Linked DNA regions of Lepisosteus oculatus. The protein of the gene in region 1 interacts with the protein of each later gene in a pairwise test. Links are inferred from orthologs where the notes say so. Each region holds a gene or a part of one and is shown in the gene's direction. Other genes may lie near its edges.

Region 1 (7,724 bases):
ACAAAAACATTACTTTCCCTTGACTGGAAATATTGATGTGAGATTTTATAAAGAATTATTGAAATACAGCCCAAAAAGATGTTTTGCCTTTCCGGAATAAAATTAGTGATTACTGAACAAAGATCCTTATTCACATCTTGGCTAAAATGAAAAGGTGCTCGATATGCACTGTTGGAGACACATCACTGATGCCACATACAGTAATACAAAGAGTAAAGAAATGATACCCTAGAACGCCAGGGTGCCTGACACAAAATGCAGCAACATATTCTACTTTGGATATTTTAAATGTATTCAGGAAACATGTAAACTTTTGTGCCCTTGCTCTCCACAAACAAAATATGTAGATCTTCTACAACCCTAGAATTCGAATTGATGACTAACCTGCTCACCATGACCACCAAAGTAAACAATGAAATGCCAGCGTGGCCTTTAGATGTACTGTATACTGCACTGTACTGGGCTTGGCACTCATTCGTGTTCATGCGTACAATGCACTGTTACATATTTTAACATGCAGCAACACAGACACATGCACTTTGTTAAAGCAGCACTGGACAAAATTATCTTAGACACTACTAAGATTCTCAGCTTCTGCTTCTGGAAGATGGGACTTACTGCAGAACAAAGCACTTTTCTCTGATTACACTTTGGCTCTATGACTACTATAAGTATTAATCTAATTAAAGAAAACAGATGAGTCACTCAATATGCAATGTAGATGTATCTAGAAATCAGGCTTTTTAAAGACATGGGAGAAAACACAGTATTGTAAGAACATTTCTATTAAGTTACCTTTTTTTTAAAGAAAAAAGTACTGCTTTTCCACGTATTCACTTCCAAGTAAGCTGAACACTGGGAGAGTTATAACCCAGATAAGCGTCTTCTTCAAAGGCATTCAAAACTGCTTTACCAGCAAAGTCAAAATGCCAGAAGCCAATTTAATCAGCCTGGATCGTTAAGTTCACAGGTTAGTTCTTTATTCCTTTTGCACTTCCTCACATAATTCCCCCCTTCCAAAAGTACTCCTGCTCCTCCTGATATCTGTGAAGGTATCTATAAGGAATCATGTGCAATGTCAAAAACACAAATGGAGGGGGAAAGAAATCACTGAAGAGCACTACTCACACTTACTGTCAAAGCGCTCAGCAGTCTTTACTCTCAAGGTTAAAAGACCTGAACTCGGAAGACGTTTTGGCTAAATGAACCCTTCCCCAAAATACAGAACATAAAGGTCATTATACATACGGTACAGACAGCTGGGGGTAGAACCTGTTGTTTCAAGATGTAATCGACTTTTGGGAAAACAACCTCCAAAGAAAGCAATAAAAAACGTAACTGGCTGTTTTTCTAGGTAGTAGAAGTGCCAGTTACATTAACTGCCCCTTCTGATAAGAATGCTTGACCTGCCTTAATACATTTGGGACATCAGTTACTTAACACTTTTTTGGAATGAAAACAGCCCACCTTCACCATTACGCACAACACGTAAACCTTAAATGCGACACTGGGAATCTCAAAGTCACCTTTATAAAACCATTCCTTCCAACAGACCACATAGCAAAGCAGTAAGACCCAGCACAGCTCCTGTAGAACAAAAACACAAATCATGCAGCTCTGCTAACAAGCGTGAACAGATGTGGATATACCGGGACACCCCTGTCGGTTTCTAAGTTTGTGTGAAATTGGCCTGAATACTTGCCGTACTATTTTGTGAAACGGCGTAAATATTTAAATTTTAAGTCGCTCAATTTGTTTTAATACTAACGTAAATTAAGTCTTCAGAAAAAAAAGCTTAAAAAAGCAGGGGCATCACTGTCTTCAGATTATTTCCAATGAAATAAAATTTAAAAAATAACGTAGAAATCAGTGCCACTGCCTCTTTAATACCCGTTGTTAGGCAACCACTGTACACAACGTCTTAGGCCACTTCGCGGCGCCGAGCACAACCGCTAATATTAACTGCAGCTTATCGACAAATAGTTGACAAACATCCCCGTCAGGAAACTTATCATTTAAAACGTAGACTTCTCACTTTAGCAATAAATATATGCGGTTCCGGGGAGGATCATTCGAGATAAGTAGGGCGCTCCAGACACAACAACCCCCTTCAGCAAAGTATTAAACACGACAGTTCAACGTTACTGACTCGAACACAAACTGCATGTTTTTGAAAAGGTCCCGTACCGTACGACAAGTTCAACGTATCCTCAGCGGAACAGCGCGCATCCTCCCCTGGGAGAAAAAAAACACAACACACGAAGGTGTCCACGTCCTGAGTGGTTTTACGGCCGCCGGGTTTCAACGAATAACACAGCGGATCCGCCGCCCAGCAGCAACAAGCCCGCAGGGCAACTTGTCAGCAGCAGCAGCAGGGAACTGCCGCCCGGTGCTGCAGGGAAGAAGAGCGAGGGGCGGGAGAACCTCAAACACCAGAGCACAGGGAATTACACAGCACCCCCTAGTGGACTGGAGGGACACTTATACACTGCTGTCCCATAAGGGATCCTGGTGACCCTGTTCTTTGATCCTGGTGATCTTTGATCCCCTGTGTTTGGGGTTATTTGTGGATCAAATTCACGTCTGATTTCTTTCAAGTCTAGATCTCTTTTTTGTTTTTCAAACGGATTCTTCCAGCCTTTATCAATAAAAAATGACATCTGCTTTATTAAAGCAATTCTCCGTCACTGTATGTTTAAAGCAGGTCCAGAGCCACTGACTTCTATTTACGTTGTATGTTATTTACGTGGGTACGTCGGTATGTCAGTTGTACTGTATGTTGTTGTCGCTGCTGCTGCTGTTCTGTGTTGGTGTTTCCTTAATGTCCTGGTATCGGAGCAGACGTGCAAATAAGCATTTCATTGCACTTGTGGATATGACAAATAAACTGACAAATAAACTGAACTGAACTGTTCCAAAGAGCGGGGGCTCATACCATTTAAATTTCACTCTGCTCTCCGAGAGGAGGCCGTTGGTCCATTCTAGCTTGCTTGCTGTGGATGACGTGGATCCTCTCAATCCTCTGGGATAGAATTAATAATAATTGCTTGCACTTCTGTAGCACGTTTCTGCACACTCCACTCAAAGCACTTTACAGGTAATGGGGACTCCCCTCCACCACCACCAGTGTGCAGCCCCACCTGGATGATGGGATGGCAGCCACAGTGCACCGGTACACTCCCCAGACACCAGCTCTCAGTGGGGAGGAGAGCAGAGTAATGAAGCCAGTTTAGAGGCGGGGATCGTTAGGAGGCCATGATTGATAAAGGCCAATGGGAAATTTGGCCAGGACACTGGGGAAACACCCCTGCTCTTTTCGTGAAAAACGCTGGGATTTTGAATGAACACAAAGAATCAGGACCTCTGTTTACATCTCATCCGAAGGACAGCGCCTTTTTTACAGTATAGTGTCCCCGTCACTATACTGGGGCTTTAGGACCCACATAGACTGCAGGGTGAGCGACCCCTGCTGGCCCCACTAACACCTCTTTGGCGCCCTGGCCAAAATTTCCCATTGGCTCTTATCAATCATGGCCTCCTAATAATCCCCAAATATGAATTGGCTTCATCACTCTGTTCTCCTCCCCACTGAGAGCTTGTGTGTGGTGAGCGTGGTGGTGGAGGGGAGTCCCCATTACCTGTAAAGCGCTTTGAGTGGAGTATCCAAAAAACGCTATATAAGTGTAAGCAATTATTAATTATAATTATTATTATTACCTCTTCCAGAAGCAACCTTAGTTTTTCCCAGGAGTCTCCCATCCAGGTACTGACCAGGCTTGTTTTAACACACATTATTGTATTGGAAACGTTAGCCCAGTTTGTCTGTTTTATCTTATCATCTTTGCAATCTCACTCTCAAGCAATGTAAAAAAAAAACTCATCTCCTGAAACACAGTTGTACCGTCTTCTTTGTTGATGATGTTCGTTTTTGTTGGATTGTTATGTTAGACTCTGCCACCAGGGAGTAATGAACGAAACTAATATGAATTTAAAATATATTCATGTATTACATCCCTCCATCCACTTGCTAACTGCTTCTTCCAATTCAGGATCGCAGATGATCCAGATCCTGTGTCAGCAAGCTACAGGGACAAGACAGAGTATACCTCGGGCCAGTCCATCACAGGGAAGACACAGACAGAAACACCCCATCAGTTGGCCTGACAGCATGTTTCTGGACTGGGAGGAAATCCTTATTTATTCCTTTTCTGGAAACTAAATGTGCAGCTGCAGACAGCCGCCAGCAGGGGGCTCTATCACCTCAAGGGCTCGCTCGCGTCCCACCGAAGCCGTCTGGACCGAACCATTGAAGTCACGGGTTTCTTTTTTTGTTGTTGTAATATTCTTTAGAATGCGTTGCACATAGAGATTTTTCGATAACTTAAAGACTGAGAAAATTCTTAGTTTTGTATTTGTATTTTTTACACATAGTGATTGTGGTTGTCGGCATCCATTTTCGGGTTCTTGTCATTTTCAGACCACCCCAGGGTGGGCTCGGTGGTAGTTGTCCGTGTCATGGCTGTGTTGTTAGGTAGCGCCGGCGATCGTTAGCGAAGTTTAGCTACAACATCGCAAGAAAAATTACATTTCCGTTGTTCTCAAGGGTGTTTTGTAGGGGGGTTATCTTCTTCCGAAGGGCGAGGCAGGTTTAATTGATCTAACGCACAGAGATAGAGAGCGTTTCAGCTGGGAAGATGGCCGGGGGCGGTATGGCGCAGAAGACATGGGAGCTCTCCAACAGTATGCAGGAAGTTCAGAGCATTGATGAAATTTATAAATACGACAAGAAACAACAGCAAGAGATCCTAGCTGCGAAACCGTGGACAAAAGAGTGAGTTTCTTTTTAAAAAATGCATACAAACCTCTGTTCGCGATGCGTTTTGTAACGTAACTGTTAGGTGGCCCGTTTCAGTGCTTTCACTGTTGTTTTCTTTTGATTCATTTTCTTACCGCTTTTTCTTAGTAAAAAAAAAAAGGAGACAAAAGATTATTTAATGCGTGTTTATTAAATGATTTGCTAGCCAAAACTCGTACACTTGCAGAAATTCGCAAATTTCATAACGCAGTATGGTTTGGTCAAAGGTCTCTCCGCTTGCGGTTTTCTGGATGAGGATCTCTTGATTATTTCTTGATCGTGCTTTTAAAAAAGCTGACAGTTTAAAATAAAAAGAAAAGTTTCATAATGTTTCCTTTTCAATTTCCCTGGAACATAATACGATGGGTTGCATTCGTTAGGCTCTGATTATCCTCACAATCGATTTTGTAGAGAGAGGTCGGGCTTCTCCAGTGCCGAGTACCAGAGCACTGCCGGCAGTGCCCAGTGATACGTATTGAGCTGAATGAATTGAACTGGCTCGGCAGCCATATCACCCTGCAGCTGGCTACCCAGTAAAGCTCAGCAGGGTTGAGTTTGGTCAGTACCTGGATAGGAGACGACCTGGGAAGTTATGGTTGCTGCTGGAAGTGGTGTTAGTGGGACCAGCGATCTGTGTGGGGTCCTGATGCCACGGTATACTGGAGAAACACTATACTGTAGTGGGCGCCATCTTTCGGATGTGACGTTAAACCGAGGTCTTGACTCTCAGTGGTCATTAAAAATCCCAGGGCGTTTCTCAAAAAGAGTAGGTGTCCTGGTCAAATTTCCCATTGGCCTTTACCAATCATGACCTAAGAATAATCTATGAATTGGCTTCATCTCTCTGTTCTCCTCCCCACTGAGAGCTGGTGTGTGGGGAGAGTACTGGTGCACTATGGCTGCCGTCGCATCATCCAGGTGGGGCTGCACACTGGTGGTGGTGGAGGGGAGTCCCCATTACTGTAAAGCGCTTTGAGTGGAGTGTCCAGAAAAGCACTATATAAGTGTAAGAAATTATTATTATTGTCTTTGTCCCTCCCAGCCTAAAAGCAGCACCTCATCTGGTGTTGACTTCTAGAGATTGATGCCTCAGAGACCAGGGGCAGTGTCTGATTATTAGCACTGAAATAATCCGACGGGGGGGACAGGTGGCTCACCGCAGTTCTCTCCGTTTGGCCGTGCGTGTTTTGCAGCCACCACTACTTCAAGTACTGCAAGATCTCGGCCCTGGCCCTGCTGAAGATGGTCATGCACGCCAGGTCCGGCGGCAACCTGGAGGTGATGGGCCTGATGCTGGGCAAGGTGGACGGGGAGACCATGATGATCATGGACAGCTTCGCCCTGCCTGTGGAGGGCACGGAGACCCGGGTGAACGCCCAGGCTGCCGCCTACGAGTACATGGCGGCGTACATCGAGAACGCCAAGCAGGTCAGCGGGGCGCTCCGGCCTTCTCCGACGTCGGAGACACGGGCGCTCGGCCGCGTTTCTGGCTTGTTTTTTTTTCCGGTGGCGTGGTTTAAGAAAATCTCGCACCTCAGTCTCCCTCTCGGCTTGCCGAGGTCCTGCGGTGGTCCGTGCTCCGGCATTCCACGCCAGGGTCCTCCCCGCCTGAGAGAGGAGGCCGTTCTGCCCATCCAGCCTGGTTTGGTAGTTCATTGATCCACGGATCTCATCGTTTGATGAAAGACGCTTCAATAACATGCAGGATTCAACAGACTATGGAACAGCTTCTACCTCCAGGCAATAAGACTGCTAAATAGCCAACCTGCAGCTCCTTTAGCATATCACCCGTAATGGCTACATGGACATACAGTTCTCATTGTATTCATCATACTGCACTACTTGGACATAATACATTGCATACACCATGGACACATAGCAGCTCTATTCATATTGAGTTTTCTCTGAGTTTATTTTATTCAATTTCTATTGTGAGCTCGTAGAAAAGACATTTCATTGCCAGCAACTACTGCTGCACGCTGTGTTGTTGTGCATTTGATAAATAAACTTTGATTGGATTTTGATTTGAGGGTTTAGCTGTTCCATATTCCCACAACCCCCTGCACACGGAGGTGCCTCCTGTTTTTGTTTTCAACTTTACATCGATTTAATTTCCGCCCTCGTCCTCTGGTTCGTGTCTCACTGTCCAAGAATAGTAAGGTTCAGGAGGGTTGCAGTACTATGGAACACGCTCATCTCATTTGAGACGTTTCTTATGTTCAGATAAAACTTGACACTTCAAAGCAAAGCGTATTGAATTAATTGAAGCTGTTCTGGCAGCCCACGAGGCCCAACACACTGTGAAGACAGTTTATATAGGTGTTTCCTTTATTTTAGCTCTTATGTGTATTGTGATCCAGTCTTGTACAATAATTGTGGTTTGTGCCTTCTTTCAGAATATAAGTTTCAGGGTTTTTTTTTCGTTGATGCGGACTAAAAAGACATAAAAATGCAATGGACAGTGTGTCCAGGTGGGGGAACACTTTGATTTGTTTTTTTTTTTGTTGTTGTTGTCGTGGACAGCTGACCTTTATGAGTCCAAGGGAAACTACAGTCATTCACAATGACATGTAAAACATCAACACCTTTTAATATTTTTAAGGTGTTTCTTTTAAGGCCTTTAACAGATAATTGTGCAATCTTATCTAAGCATGCACTAGAGATACAAGATTTCGTCGACATACTCATCTATGAAAAAAGCGCATACTTTCTGAAGTATGACATTTTTGGGGGGGTTTGTCTTAAGCAATAGATCCTACCTTTTGTAGGAAATGTCTTTGCTTATTTTACTCCATGACAACTGAAACGTAACTTCAGCTCAGTTAAAGTTAAGATGAAACTTGGTGTAAAACATCAAGGCTTCTGGAAT
Region 2 (8,095 bases), on another chromosome or scaffold:
CGCTGTTCTGGGGCACTAGGGAGACAGAGAGACAGTTACAGACCAGACTCGGGAAAGCTCTGCCAAAAAAGACTGTATCCCAGCGGCCTCCCCCTGGACCTGGGCAGTGTCTGTAGGTTTTCCAGGTCTCTTTAAAGCAGCAGCACCTGCAGGTTGAAGCTGTTCAATTGGTCCAATTAAGCCACTAACGAGCATCTTCAGCCATCAAGACCTTGGCTCCAATAAAAACCTGCAGTTTGCAGGGAAGCCGGAACCCGGGACCTGTTGGACAGTCCTGCTCCAGCCCAGGTGCTGCTGAAAAGACCGAGAATCTTGTCTCCAGTGAACTTCTGTTCACAGGGGTCACTGAAGGTCGGAAATCGCAGAATAAGAGAAACCGAACTACAAAGCAAACAGCAGGAAACAGAGGAGGGAGAGGGGAGACCACACAGGAGAAAGGGCACGGCCAGCAGCTCTCCCGGACGGGTCGGGGGGGACTCACCGAGCTCGGTGGGGTGCAGCAGCACGTCCACAGTCTTGTAGAAGGGCAGGGGCACCAGCTTGACGTCGGTGGGGGGTGTGGCGGCGGTGGCGGTGGCGGCGAGGCCGTTGAGGTAGTCCGCGCCCTGCGGGGGGGCCGGGGCCGGGTGCGGGGGGCTGCGGGCCGGGTAGGGCGCCTGCAGCAGCTCGGGGGGCCGAGGCCGCTGCGCCAGCCAGCCGGGCGCCTTGGGGAAGCGCGACTCGTACAGCTGGCGGATGGTCTTGAGCAGCTCCGGGCTGCACTCGCTCTGCACCAGCCGCAGGGCCCGGCCCACCAGGTCCTGCTTCAGCCCGCTCTTGCTGCGGCCCATGGAGGACAGCAGCGTCTGCAGGTCCGACACCCGGAAACTCTTCACCATGTTCTGCGGGGCGGAGAGGAAGACAAGAGACGCTGAGCACCTCCTCTCCGGACCCTGGACCCCCTCCCCGTCCCCCCAGACTCGTCGACATGCGCTGGGCGACCTCCTCCTGCTGCACCCCAGAGCCCCAGAGGGCTGTCTCCAAGGCAATTGGGGTCCCCTCTCCCCTCTCCCCGAGAGGGGACCGATCCGGACTCCACCCCTTCCTCTTCAGAAGCGCTTTGCCCGAACTGGATCTGCCTGCCCTTTGCACCGCGGGCCGCACTCAGAACCCTTGTTCTTTACTGGAAAGCACTTTAAAAAGCAGCTTTGAAAGGCGCTATATAAAACAAAAGATCCGCACGCAGCATCGACTCCTCTCCCCAAGCAGGAGACCAGAGGCACCGCTGTGGAAACTGGCGACACCGGGCAAGCCCTCCCAGCGCCCGGCTGCCTCTCAACACAAGCCCTTCACCCCAGGACGAGCCAGCCGGACTCGTCTTTGCTCCGCCTGCGTGCAGCCCGCAGACGCGGCCGGACCCTTACAGAGCAGCCGACACACCCGCCGGGGGCTCGGACAGAAACCCACGGGCACAAGACGTCACGCCAGCGGAGCCCGAGAGGACTAAAGGCGAACAGGGCTGACGACTTCTCTCAATCAAACAGCACGGAGTTCTCTCTAAATCCATCCGGCGAAAATCAGACTGCAACAACAGTTATGATCAGCTTTGAAGCGGGGCTTCCGTCTGCGTCGGCTGTTGCCCGTCTGCACACCGGGGCGCTGCTGGCTCTGCTCAGCCGGGGAGCACCAGCGCAGGGGGGCTGCTTTGCATCTCCGCCGGCTGGGGACCAGGCACGGGTGACGGCAACGACGGGTCGGGACTCCTGCGCTGCTCGGCGTCTCCAGCCACAGACGCCGACAAGGGTGCGCTCATCGGGGTCACCGCGGCGCCCCGGCCTCACGCTGGCGCCGGCCAGGTGCCGAGCCCGGACACCGGCCCTGCAGCTCCCTTCCCCCTGGGGGCAGCGGACAGGTCCGCCTCTCTCTCGCCGGGAAAAACACACCTCGTCGCTGTCAACCCGTGAAGACGGAAGCCCCTCTCACGCCGCGCAGGGTCCCTTCAGCTGCAGGCACACGCCGGGTGCGAGGTGCCGAGCTTGCAGGAGGGGAGTGAATGATTAAACCCGAGCCGCTCCGACTCCCCGCTGGCGGATGTTTTTATTTATGGATCTATCATTCATTATCCCATATGCCAGCGACCCCTCTTCACAACGGCTCTGCCCCCTGGCGTGAATCTCCCTGCCACCCCCAGCCTCGCCGCGCTGGGCTCCCGCCCTCCCCAGCCTCGCCCGAAGCCCCCGCTCGGCTGCCCCGGCCGCCCCCCGGCCCCTTGCCCAGCCGCCCGGGAGAAAGCAGCTCTCGACTTGCCATCGCTTCCACTAGCTCGGCCGCCATCTTCCTCCAGCAGCCCCGCGAGAGCCAAAACTAAGAAAGCGAGCTGGCCGCCAATGAGAGGCCGCGGGGTCACGTGCGGGGGAGCCGGGCCCACCAATCGGCGCACGGCCCGGTCACGTGGTGCGGGGGACTGCGCAAGAAAGGGGCGTGGCCGCTGGCTCTTAAAGCGACAGTGTTAGCAAAAAGTCGGGTCACACTTCCACATAGGCTGCCAGTGGCGCGCTAGGCCTCGGCACCCTAAAAAGGCGCATGGGCTGCCTGATATCACGGGGTGCCACCTTTTAGAGCTTGATAACCCCGGAATGAACGTGCGCTCCGAGGCAGCGCCAGGGTCTTCTTACATTAATCGCGTTTCTTTAGCGGTGTCAGTCGGAAGACAGCATGAGTCTGGGAGACTCCAGTCCGTATCCAGAATTCTACTTCACACCTCGCGTCCAACCAAACGGCTTTAGGAGAAGGAATGCAATGTGCGTTTTTAAACAGGTCCAACATCTTAATTAGATCATATCTTTTTTTCTTATCGACAGAAAGGCTTATGGAAATGTTTTTGTCTGGAAGGTTTGTAGAAACCAGTGTCTGATATTTTGCACTTTGTTAAAAAGATGGAAATGAGTGTCAGAATTGTGCATTCTAGGAGCTGGATCCAGGAATCCATTTCCATGTCTTTGAAGCTGAACAGCTCTTGTAAAACTGAATTAGTTAGGAAGGACACAAAGATACGCACACCCTGTAACCCCAAGTCCTTCCACAGACTGTTCATTCGGAATGATGTGCCAGGCATGACATCTCCAGCTCTAGGCTGTGGATAATACACAGTCGCCCCACCGTTCATGAAACCTTACTTTTTTTCCCCCATTTCCATGTTAACACACCAATTTCACGAAGACACACAGACTTTCGCAGTAACACACACTAACACACAGTAACACACAGTGTGAACATGTCTGGCCAGTGAGCAACCCCACCAGCAGGAGGAGGGTGGAGGAAAGATGAAGATGGTGAATGGCTGTGCCGGATCTCCCATGGGGCCGTGCTGGCACAGCTGCTAGGGCCTAGGACATTTTTAGGGCCTACGAAGGAGGGAAACACTCCTGACTGACGAGCTGAAACAACATGCTTGCTCCACATCAACAATCCCACGCTCTCTAGCAGCTGTTCTAGAAACTAGAAGTGTGGAAGTGATGGTCTCTCGACTCGCCCCATCAATCGCCTGGTTTAGCATGAGAAGAGCGTAGAGAGGTTATGAGGAGCCATCGTAAATAGCTGTCAGTGTTTGCTGTTTGTCCTTGTAACCCACTGAAAACTGAAGTACCCCTCCTTAATTCTTACCGCGTGTGTGTGTGTGTCAGTGTGTGTGTCAGTGAGTGAGTGTGCGTGTGTGTGTAACCCCTTCAAGGAGTTTTAATCTCTGTCTATCAAGTCCAACAGGCGGAGGTAAATAAACGAGTTGTTGTTGGCACATCAGGGGTGTGTGAGCTCCATTCTGTGCGAATCCCCCGGTCCTCACAATAGTTTAAAGTGCATCATGTCAATCGACGTCATTCAACTGGCGTTGACCCCTCTCCTGGCACATTTCGGAGTGAAAGTGCCGAGGGCCGACGAGCACCACAGTCCGGCCCTGGCGAGAGGGAGAGTCAGTGTTTGTCAGCGGGGGATGATGGGATGTTGCTCTGGGAGCGCAGGCAGGGAGACCGGCTGTCAGGCTCAGGAGCAGTCGTCGGGTGGCCATGTCTCACTCTGCTGGGATTAGACTGCAGATCGTCGGGGGACAGACCCTGTCACCTGCAGTGAGTCTACCTCATTCCTTCCTCCCCTCCGGCCTCCAGGAGCCCCAACAGCTGTTCTGAGGAGTGTTTCATGCCGGTCAGGACACTGGCCCGCAGTGGGTCTCGTGGAGCAAGACAGCGCAGACACTGGGCAGACACTGTGAGCAGCTCGCCACAGAAACGGAGCTGACCAGCTGTGATCCTGCCTCTCAATTGCAGGACTCCCCCCAGGAGGTCCAAGACTGGACAGAGCAGGATGTGCAAGTGCAAGAGCACTACTACCGTTCTTATGCAAACATTTTATTTCAAATCCACCTGGGAATCTAGAAGTGTTGCGTTCCTATCGATATATATATATATGAATTATATATGTATTCCTATATATATTTTTGTGTGTGCGTGTCTAAGTCTGCTCCTGGAGCATTATAAGGACAGACAGCATTGCGCGTTGTGACAGGCAGGAACACTCGCGGTCGAAGCCACTCTGTTTCTGGAGTTACTCCATCCCGCCGCCAGAGGTCGCTGCGTGCAGCTCCAGGCGCGACCTCTAATCTCGCGAGATTTATGTTGCAACCCTGGACCGGATTCCGCTGATCGTGAAGGATGTGTGGGTGACAGATCTCGCGAGATTCCGTGGGACCCCTCCTGGCCGCGTCTGCTGCTACTGCTACTGCTTCCTGAACCGGGACCCGAACTGAGTCCCCGCCGCCCAGCTGAGAGCCTAACCGAGCCGGCGTCCCCCGGCCCATCCAGTGGACATTCGCCGCAGACACCCCGCTCACGCCCTCTCCCCGCCGCAAGGGCCGCGCAGCCTCGGGCTCTAGTGTTCGCTGCCACCGGGGGACCCTGCCTCCCTTTTCCGCGTCCGCAGAGCCGGAGACAGGCCGCGGCCGCGGTGCGCCCCAGGACAACACCAGAGACGGTCTTTCTCTCTAAACAACAGCTGAAGACTCTGAAGGAAAGGAAAAGAGACAAACGCGGTGATATGCTGTTTATTTATTTTTTCCTGGCGTCTTCCTTCAAGTGATCACTTTTCCGTACGTGTCTGAAGGTACCCGGGGGACTCGCACCTTGAAGAGGAGACTCGGGTGTTTTCAACGTTTCAAAAGCTGCAAAACCCGATTCTAACCTCCGCGCTTCGGGACGGGCAGAGGTGCCGGGGCCGCGATATTCATCCTGTCGGATGCAGACGTCGATCCGTGTGCGGTAGTCGCGCTGCTGCTGCCCGTGTCCCAGCCCCGCCGGCAGACCGGTGGCCATTAGCGACCCACCTTCCCGACCGGACCGGACCGCCCGCCCGCAGCTCTTGAGAAGGGGATGTCGCTGTGAAGAACAGCATCTCAGCTGTCAAAAAACACCCACTATCGGGGCACTCGTGCATTTCAGCTTTAATTGTCCAAAAGAAAACCTTTCCCAAGCCGGCCTGTAGAGGCGGGTGGGGGCTGCAGTCGAGACGGGGCCGCCGAAATCTCTCTCTATGTTTTAATCTGGGCTCCCGACTGGAGCTTCTGATTCAGCGAACCAGCGCCGAGTCGGTTTTCCCGGTCCAGTGCGAGCTGTGCGGGCTGGGTCGCGCCTGAGGCCCGAGCGAGATGGCTCCGAAGAAGAGGCCGATGCCGCTGAACATCACCCCCACGGGCGGGGAGGGCCAGCCCGGTCCCAACGCCGTGGACGCCGCGTCCGAGTGAGTACCTTCCGGGGGGAGCGGGTCAGCTGCTGGGGGGGGGGGGGTGTTAATGTGTTTAAAAAGTCTTCTTGCCCGAAAGGTTAGTGCATCAGTGGCCTGGAGTGAAAACGTAGCCGCGGAGCAGGGCTGAGCTGATACCGGGCGTGTGTAGGGTGTGTCGGGGGTTTGAGACCCGCTTGCTGACGGACACATCAGCAGGAAGGGTGCGACAGCGGGGTCTGGACTGGAAGGTTGGGGGTCCCCCCCCTGAGCCGGATGCTGCACCCAGAGAGCCGCAGGGAAAGACCCCGCTGTAGGAGAGGGCGCACATGGGAGTCGCTTTGTATCAAAGGGCATCGGGGAAAGATCAGTAACCTGTCGAGTTTCACCTGTTCAGACCAGTTTGTCATGAGCGCTCCCATACAAAGACATTAAAGGAATCGCCCAAAACACCAACACTGAGCAGCAGCAACAACAATAAGTTAATAAATGAGTAGCTCAGCGTAAAAGAGTGCAGGGCAGCAGTGTGTTCAGTAGCTCAGGGTGAGAATGCAGGGCAGCAGTGTGTTCAGTAGCTCAGGGTGAGAATGCAGGGCTGCAGTGTGTTCAGTAGCTCAGGGTGAGAATGCAGGGCTGCAGTGTGTTCAGTAGCTCAGGGTGAGAATGCAGGGCAGCAGTCTGTTCAGTAGCTCAGTGTGAGTGCTGGGCAGCAGTGTGTTCAGTAGCTCAACGTAAGAGAGTGCAGGGCAGCAGTGTGTTCAGTAGCTCAGTGTTATAGTGCTGGGCTGCAGTTTGTTCAGTAGCTCAGTGTTACAGTGCTGGGCTGCAGTGTGTTCAGTAGCTCAGCGTAAGAGAGTGCAGGGCAGCAGTGTGTTCAGTAGCTCAGCATGAGAGTGCTGGGCTGCAGTGTGTTCAGTAGCTCAGCATGAGAGTGCTGGGCTGCAGTGTGTTCAGTAGCTCAGCATAAGAGAGTGCAGGGCAGCAGTGTGTTCAGCAGCTCAGTGTGAGAATGCAGGGCAGCAGTGTGTTCAGTAGCTCAGCATGAGAATGCAGGGCAGCAGTGTGTTCAGTAGCTGAGCGTGAGAGTGCAGGGCTGCAGTGTGTTCAGTAGCTCAGTGTGAGAGTGCAGGGCTGCAGTGTGTTCAGTAGCTCAGCGTGAGAGTGCTGGGCAGCAGTGTGTTCAGTGTTCAGTTTGTCACGAGCGCTCCTGTACAAAGACGTTAAGGAATCACCGTTACCCCGGAGCAGCAGCAGTGTCCGTATGGAAGGTGGGAGCGACCAGGAGCCCAGACGACGTTCAGACACTGCTGGCAGTGAAGGGAAACCTGTGGTGTTAGCTGACTTCCCAAACTGTGCACTGAACACTGTCGTGATGTCCCCCCCCAGGGCAAACCTGGAGGCCCTGCAGAAGAAGCTGGAGGAGCTGGACCTGGATGAGCAGCAGAGGAAGAGGCTGGAGGCCTTCCTCACGCAGAAGGCCAAGGTGGGCGAGCTGAAGGACGACGACTTCCACCGCATCTGCGAGCTGGGCGCCGGCAACGGCGGCGTGGTCAACAAGGTGTGCCACCGGCCCTCGGGGCTGGTCATGGCCCGCAAGGTGAGTCCCAGTGGGGCGGAGCCCTCCAGTGGCTCTCTCTGAGTGAGTTCGTTAGAAATCAATCCTGTTGTGAGCTGTGAACGTAAGGGTAGCAGGTTATTTCCGTGTCGAGGGAGGGCGTGGCTCATCTTTGCCGTAAGATGACGATATCAGTGGGGTTTCAGCTGCTGCTTCACCAACTACCGTCAGTTCAATTTCGGAAAGTTGTACTTATTCAATTTCTTTTTATATAGCGCCTTTCACAACAGGGTTGCGTATTGCGATGATCAGATTGCATGAAACGTTCCAAGTGTTGCAGACTGCGCTGGAGTGGTCTGAAATTAAACTCCTGGAGTTGCAGCTGGGAAAGGACATCCTTCTGCAGGAGGAAGCACCTTATCGGGCACTGAGAGAAGGAAGCAGGATGAGAGATCTCAGAACAGCTGAGCCGAATCCGGTCACTGTACTAACGCATTTCTGTTTCATCTGGTCTCCAGTCCAACACATCCATGTGACTAGTAAACTGTAGACAAGCTAGGGACGTGGGCTACTTGAGGTGTCTTTCTAGAAGTTAACAGATTCACGTTTCACGTTATTGCTTTCAGTGTTAATACCTGTTATCTTTGTAAGTGTGTGCTTCTTGTCCTAGTTTGTAAGTTATGATGTGTTGTTCAAAGCTGGGTAATACGTTTTCTAGTTATATGATTCATTTATTCAGTAGTTCTCAGTAATAACCTGATAAGTGGGTGTTTGGGAGCTGATAACAGCAGTGTT
Region 3 (7,789 bases), on another chromosome or scaffold:
GAATTTATTTGCTGGTGTTTTAATGGACGAAGCAGCCGAAACAAAAACTCTCCAAGCATGGCAAACAGAAGAGCCCACGCTTTATTTAAAACGGGAAACCTCAAGACGCTCCACCCAAGACAATTCATTAAGTAACCCGATCTCTGATGAAGAATAGGTCACTAACGACATTTCATACAACAAAACTATGCTGTTTCGTTATCTAAACGAGCAACGGGCTATTTTATCTTCTTCTTAGTCTCCAACATGGCAGAATAAATGTATTATATAAAAAGTACATTTTTAGTAGAGAAAGGGAAGCCTATATAATTGCCTGTAAACACTGATGCCTTCTAAAACCACCACAGTCAGAGAATCAAAATTAGTTATTGCAGTGGACAAAATAGTTAGGACATTCACTGTTAACTTCTGTGTCTACTGAACAGATGTTTTAGTGAGCTAAGGATACCTCCTCTTTTCTTAGTGTAGATGCAGATGAGGGCCAGGTACTCCCAAAGTGTCTCAAGAAGGTAATCTAGATTAAGCTTCATCCCACAGCTGAAAAAAAACATGGTCTTATCAGCAAACATGAAAAAGTGCAACAATGCCACTGTTCTTTTCTGAAACAAGAAAAACGGCCACAGGATATTTACCTAATGACCACGCTATTGGGTCGTTTGGCCAAACGGTCTACCTCTTCCATCGAGATTTGGTCAATTTTATTGTACACCTGCAAAAACAAAGGTCTACACTTTTTGACAAGAAATTTCTCTAAAGTCCAAAAATGAGAGTCAATTTATTTTTTGTTGTCAGTTTGCACCCTTTAGATAAAAAAAAAAACACTCAGCACCGTTTTATACTTACGTATAAGCATGGCATATATACTCTGTTTCCCACAATTACATCGATGAACTCATCTGAAGTACAGTCTTCTCTAAACAAAACCTCTGCATTAAAGATTTCTGTGAGGATGTTTTTTAAAGAAAATGTTTATAACATGCATAAACATATTTCATATCTGTATATTGGTGTCTTAATATCTTCTGATTATTTCAATGAAACACACAAGTTATTTCTCAGTGTTATACACGGCAGTTTGTCATATTGCACCATATTAGGTCATCTAAATTGCTTTTAAGCAATGTAAATGTTTTTTTTCCCAAAGGAGAGGAAACAACACAAACATTGGGAAGTCATAATACTCATTCTGAAATGTCACTAAAACAATTTTAAACCTTATTGATGCTCCTGTATGAAATGACTACACAGTTTTATTGTATCTGTTCTGGTTCTATAATAAAAAAAACATCTTTTAAAAAGAGACCATAAACTAACAGCCACCATTAATAAAAAATTGATAAGCAAAGGTTTAATGAACAGTGTAATGTTTCTATAAATAATCTCTTGAAAGAGAAGACATGTAAATCACCCTGTATCTTAGTTCCTGTTGTTCTGGAGCAAAAAGCACACCGCTAGGGTAAGACACATTAAAGCACGCTATCACAACCCGAAAACAAGCGGATTTTTTAGGTTGACATTAAAGGATACTGTATTCATGAAGAATAAGCTGCACTAGTTTTTCAGAGCAGTGGGTAAGGGGGACTGTGGAGTTGTAGGAGATGCCTCCACCCTTCTTGGGCTGAAAAAAAAATATTACAAATCAATATCGCTCCAAGAAAATTCAGATATAAGGCTTCACTTTAAACTTATAATCAAACATGTTATACATTTTAAGCATGTTGTGGCTATTTCTCATTTACACTAACATTTGCTTTATTGCTGATCTGTACATAAGTTAACCCCAGATAATACCTTGAAATATATATTAGGCTTCGACATGTTGAGCCTAATTCCAACAGATTCCAACTCCTTTTCCAGAAGCCCCCTGTAAAAAAAATAAATAAAAGATTACATTCAAGGACTGCATTTAAACATAGGAAGACATTTTAAATAAACTGTTTTTCAGGGACACAGCATACTCGCTTTTAACTAAACTGGAGGTTTTTCATATGACGCATAAATAATTTAATTTATTTAAAAAGCAGATCACTAACCTCTGAACATCCCCTTTTGTGGCATCCAGCATCATTATGACAACATCTGCAGTTCGGGCAACAGCAATAACTTGTCTTCCTCTACCCTTCCCTGCAAAGACCAGCACCCACACACTGATAAAGGCCATGCTAGCACCAGTTACACCTACAGCCCAGCAAAATGGCTGCTCACTGAGAAGCTAGCCCAGCACTGAAAACACACCAGGGTCATCACATTGCAAATGAGATGTCTTATTAATTAAAACCTTCCTAAATTGTAAGGGATCACAAAGCTATCACTTCCAATTAAATTACCTTGTGCTGCCCCTTCAATGATCCCAGGTAAATCCAACAGCTGGATGTTGGCACCTTTATACTGCAAGAAAAAATCCACATCACCTGTTAACCAGTGTCGTGCAAAAAAAAAACCTTTTGATGTTTTTCCTTTTACAAAACAAACTAAAAAAACAAACAAAGAGAATACCTCTAAAAATATTGGTGGATTCATATTGCCATTGCATTGACCTGGATGCCAAACAAATTTAAGGCTCCTTTGTGAAATCATGTGCACCCTTTTCAAAGAAGGAAAGCAAGACAACCATACCTCAATAACTCCAGGGATACAGGTCAAGGTCGTGAACTCATAGGAGGCGGCCTCACTCGCTGTTGATGTCATAAGGCTGAGGAAGGTGGACTACGAAACAGAAACATCACATCGCCTCAATCAGAAGTTTAGGAAGTTCCTCAAACAACCTATGGCGTAATATACCTTTGTACGCCAATTCCGACACACATTATAAACCTTTCCTTCACATAGGCAGAGTAAAAACTAGGACTTTGGCAGAAAGTAGGTGCCTTACCTTACCCACGGATGGGAAACCAATCAGTGCCACCCTGGCATCGCCCGATTTCATCACATCGAAGCCTTCGCCTTTGGCGCCAGCTGACTTGGAAGGTTCTAACAGCTGGGCTCTGTACTTTGCCAATTTAGCCTTCAGCAAACCCAGATGGTACTCAGTTGCTGCAAACCCAAAAAAACAACAATGTAGTGTCAAGGAAATCTATACCTTATATCCTAAAAAATGTAACTAACATGTTTTGAAACTGGTGCTGCAGAAAACTCATTTGATGTTGCTGCACAATTACTCTCTACTATAATATTTTGGTTGATTTCTCTGTGTCATCCCAACCCCCCCATTAAAACTGTAAAAGCAACACTAAAGCAGGGGTTATTAACTTGTTACTTCCATCCCATTACAAGTCTTTGCTGTGCTGTAGATCATCCTTAATTATCAATGTTCTTCAGCGCTCTGGTTTTTTTAAGGACCAATCCTGCAAGACTTATCATAATGTACAACAATTATTATGTTCTTACCAGAACAGGGGACACTACGTAGATGTGCATTTAAAACTGAGAACACAAGGCACTGATCTACCCAAAGGGTCGTGGGAGTATGGAACAAGCTACCCAGCCATCTTGTTGAAACGGATAACTTGGATTCTTCCAGGAAACAGCTGGGAGAAATGACTGGAACAATTCACGAATAACTACTAAATGGCCTGGATGTGCTGAATAGCCTGTATTCGTCTGTATCTTTTCTCACGTTTTTGTGGCTACCCCTGCCTTAAAGGCTAACATAAATCACCGAACGTACCTTTGTTTTTCTGGGTCCGTGCAATTTCTTTTTCGATGTCTGATATTTTCTCGAGGATTCCCATTTTTAACTCCGAGGTGTCCTTTTATAGAATACTTGGAAATTAAAAAGACATGTAGCTCTGTCACGCACAACGTGTCCTGTCCGCAAAACCAGGCTCGAATTTCACAAAAGAGCGTTTAGCATTTGCAACATTTTGCAAGCCATAAAGCGGCCTGAATAATTAAACACGGTTTTTAATATATATTTTGAAAATAAATGAAAGACTGTCAATAAGGAGACAATAATATTACTTCTACACTTCCCTACACAAAGTGCATGCACAAGACAATTACTCCCTCCGGAAAAGGGAGCCACCGTAAAATAGTTCGGAGTGCAACCAAACCCGCTCGAAAGAGAATTTAGTTCCAGAGTATTTTGAGTTGAAAGTCTTTCAGCTCAGGGCAGGTAACGTGTGATAGAACCCCCTTTAAAAGCACAATATATTATCTTTTGAAAATATAGCTATATTGGAGAAATAATAGAGAACATGCTCGCGTTAGTATTTTTTTTATTTACTCAGATGACCAAATAATTATACGTTGTTACATTCTATTTTATGTACATAAAAAGATGGAGGGTTAAAATAAAATAAAATTAATGTATTTGTTGAAATGTCTTTGTTTTATATGCATATGTACAGACCAGAGATAATGCGTTATATAAGAGACATGTCTGTCATATGTCAAATATAGAATGCATCCCAGAAGCCTTTGCGCCTTGAACATGGCTGCGACCGGCGGTACGAGAGCGCCTGACCCTTCTTCAGTAGCCGGGCTTGCCGGTTTCCCGTTCGCGATTCCAGCTGTCCCCTCTGAAAAAGCGTCGGAAAAGACGGATGAACATAAAAAGAAACCTTGCAGGGCTTGCATGGATTTTAAATCGTGGATCAAAGAGCAGAGGAAACAGTCAACGCTTCAGGTGATGCAAACGAGGTTCAATTCAGTGCTACACTTGTCCGAGTCAAGACATTGGATTTAGAATGTATTCGGATCACGTTTAAGTCAGTTAATATTACACGTGGATCGTATTATTTAAATCTGCTTACTTAACTGCAGTGTTAGTATCATTGTGGGATAAACTGATCAGCTTTACAGTTTACTCTGTGCAAAATACATTTTCTTTTCTCGCGTCTTTGCAGAATTGCGGACTTCCTACGATAAAAATAGCACGATCAGTTTTCAGGTTTGGACATGGAGTTGTCGCCGAGATTTTTCTACACTACGGAGACTGAATCCCATTGTCAGGGACGCGTGAAAATGTTGAAGTTTCACGACTTTCTTTTTTTTCTGCCGTCTGCTTGCCCTTTACTTCTAGGTCTCGGAAGTTTTTACGTGTTGCAGGTCAGGAACGTCAGGAGGGAATCTTTCTCCCAGGTGCATAGCTTTGGTTAAGACGCTTAAGCAGTTATGTCTGAAACGCTGAAATATTATTACATACCTTTATTTCATCAGGATTAAGTTTACACACTGGAATATCTGCTGTCTCTAAATGGGTTAGTGAATACTGGATGTACTAAAGCCCCTTACCTCCTAACCAGATGTGTTCTGCGTGAGCACATAACTGTCCTTTAAATTGCACTGTCTCCCTCCAACATGTAGAGTTGGAAACTCCGAGGTTTAGGGTTTTCTTGCTCACGTGGAAGGTACAAAATAGTCTAGCTCCAGATGATTTTAAGCATTTTTCGTCCTCACAGTCCAGTTCTTAACACAAATTCTGCCGATTCTTCTGAGGAGCAGGTGGTATACAATGGGAACAGACCTTTGAGTCTGCCACTTCAGCTCAGAATAGGGTCTGGCTCCCCTGCGGCCCTGTGTTGATAAAGTGGATGTTTTGAGATGATATATGGGGCTGTTGGAACCCACCCACTAGGTGGAGCTGTTGTACAGAGTATGATGGGGAGACAAAATGTTAACGTGGAAAAGAACTGTTTAAGATAAGATTACTTTATTGGCCATATACAATTTCTCACATTAGGAATTTGTTTTTCCACATACCCCCAGCTTGCTCTCCATGAGACACAGACACGGAGAGAAGCTGGGGGTCAGAGCGCAGGGTCAGCCATTTATACAGCACCCCTGGAGCAGCTGGGGTTAAGGGTTACTCATCAGAGTAGGATTCCCCTGCTGGCCGCGGGATACGAACCGGCAACCTTCCAGCCACAGGCGCAGATCCTGAGCCACAGAGCCACCAATCCGCCCTGTTTATCACATATACTGAATCCGCAGTAATGGGCTTGGCGGGGTGAAGGGTATATTGACACTCTCAGACTGAAGAAGTCCATACTGATCACACCTCCAGGGAATGGAGGAGGAGGAGGAGGAGATGGGGCAGGGGGTGTAAATGACGCGGTCGTCTTTCTTCAGGAGAGCCGGGGGGAGGAGGAGAGGGAGCGTCCCGTGGAGTGCCCCCTTGATCGGGAGGAGCTGGGCAGGAGCACCTGGTCCTTTCTTCACACCATGGCAGCCTACTACCCCGACACGCCCAGCGGCAGCCAGCAGCAGGAGATGAAGCAGTTCGTCAATCTCTTCTCCAAGTTCTTCCCCTGCGAGGAGTGCGCCGAGGACTTGAGATCCAGGTTCGGGATTGGCCTCCTCCGCCTGGCAGAGAGCTGACATCCGGGGGAACGGATGCCGTCTGTTTGTAGAGAGGATTTGAAAGATGGCGTGTATTGTTTTTGTCACTTAAAATATCGACTCTGTGTTACTTCATGTAAACGATCAGTGGTATTACGTTAAAAGTTGTTGCACTGTAAGAATGACACATTTCATCAGACTCGCAGCAAGGATGGGAGATTAAGAAGTGTGCAGCACCTCGCACTGTTAAGTCAAGGCTATATTTTGACAAACACGGGCGATTCTTACTCTGTCATTCTTCCCTCCTATTGCAGACTGAAATCTAATCAGCCGGACACGAGCAGCCGGCACAACCTGTCTCAGTGGATGTGCCACCTGCATAACGAAATCAACGTCCGCTTGGGCAAGCCTGAGTTTGACTGTGGGAAGGTGGATGAACGATGGCGAGATGGCTGGAAAGATGGATCCTGCGACTGAACCAGGCCCCGCTGGGCACGGAGACCCTGAGCCTTGACTGAAGGCTGCCGCGCGTGCACGGCCCTTTCAGAAGTAGGCATCCCAGCGCGCGCCGGTCCCCTCCCTTCCTCGGCTCCGAGACCTTTGGTTTTTGTGTCCTGTGAGCTGACCCGGCTCTCATGAAAAGAAAAACGGGTCTCCGTTTCCCGTTTGACATCGTCTCTCTGCGATTTTCGTTTGACAAACGAGTGAATATTTCTCCTCTAAATAAGGCAACGACCAATTGTTCTAGCTTGTTAATTGGGGAAAAATAAAGCACTAATACCATCCGCAATTACGAATGAACCTTAGCTAATCAATTACCTCTTCAATGCCTGATTTTGATCCCTGGGACAAGTAATTCCAGTATTTGAATACGTGTCTTTGTTTTCAGATCAAATACTTACCATACAATGTAGTAGCATAGCAATATGCTCTTACTTTGGCTCAACGGAAGTCTTTAAATCCTATAATCTTATAACAGTTCTGGATTGTGACTGTACAGAACAGGGGAACACCCTGCAATAGTATCTTTAATGATACTTGAGAGAACTTAAAAACCAGAGAAAGCACAGCAGCTTTATCAGGTCAAAGGATATGATTACCAGTGGAAAGTGCAAAATGGCTGTGCTGTGTTTTCGTTGGTTTTCTGGTATTGTTTCTGCAGATACAGAGCCATTTCCTGACAAATAGTCTGCAGTATAGAAGGGTTTTCTGTTCTGTTTAACGCAAGTCACTTATGGTAGCACAGTACATCAAGCGATCAACTTACACACGCATGTATGTAGTATTCTTTCTTCCTGTAACATAACATGATTTTCCCATCTTTGTTTATAGTTGCAAATACCCTATGACCCAACAGGGGCAGCTCATAAACTTCCCTGCAAAAGGTGCGCTTCAGAAAATGACTTACTAACTTGAAATGTGCAAGTCTACCTCTGCTTCATGAATACTACAGGTTGTACTTGAACCCCGTCCCATTGAGTATGAGTTTGCAAAATATTAGCCATGT

The links.
Region 2: the proteins of cops5 (region 1) and map2k2a interact in a two-hybrid assay, tested with the Homo sapiens proteins (2 studies listed by BioGRID and IntAct). The link is inferred for Lepisosteus oculatus from reciprocal best matches to the Homo sapiens genes COPS5 and MAP2K2.
Region 3: the proteins of cops5 (region 1) and gfer interact in a two-hybrid assay, tested with the Homo sapiens proteins (2 studies listed by BioGRID). The link is inferred for Lepisosteus oculatus from reciprocal best matches to the Homo sapiens genes COPS5 and GFER.

The regions. Positions count from the first base shown.
Region 1 is NC_090701.1:51,534,223-51,541,946, reverse strand, and holds the start of cops5 (COP9 signalosome complex subunit 5), read left to right. Parts: upstream 1-4,463; 5' UTR 4,464-4,694; coding exon 4,695-4,831; intron 4,832-6,048; coding exon 6,049-6,283; intron 6,284-7,724. UniProt on the Homo sapiens protein: Probable protease subunit of the COP9 signalosome complex (CSN), a complex involved in various cellular and developmental processes.
Region 2 is NC_090724.1:8,883,232-8,891,326, forward strand, and holds the start of map2k2a (dual specificity mitogen-activated protein kinase kinase 2), read left to right. Parts: upstream 1-4,670; 5' UTR 4,671-5,671; coding exon 5,672-5,763; intron 5,764-7,131; coding exon 7,132-7,342; intron 7,343-8,095. Other genes in the region: pias4a (E3 SUMO-protein ligase PIAS4-A), read right to left, coding at 1-15, 482-881, 2,287-2,313. UniProt on the Homo sapiens protein: Catalyzes the concomitant phosphorylation of a threonine and a tyrosine residue in a Thr-Glu-Tyr sequence located in MAP kinases. Activates the ERK1 and ERK2 MAP kinases.
Region 3 is NC_090714.1:12,803,814-12,811,602, reverse strand, and holds gfer (FAD-linked sulfhydryl oxidase ALR), read left to right. Parts: upstream 1-4,401; 5' UTR 4,402-4,402; coding exon 4,403-4,627; intron 4,628-5,636; exon of another isoform or gene 5,637-6,072; coding exon 6,073-6,284; exon of another isoform or gene 6,285-6,343; intron 6,344-6,596; coding exon 6,597-6,759; 3' UTR 6,760-7,075; downstream 7,076-7,789. Other genes in the region: drg2 (developmentally-regulated GTP-binding protein 2), read right to left, coding at 449-537, 633-709, 844-941, 1,528-1,618, 1,792-1,864, 2,034-2,124, 2,328-2,388, 2,617-2,706 and 2 more.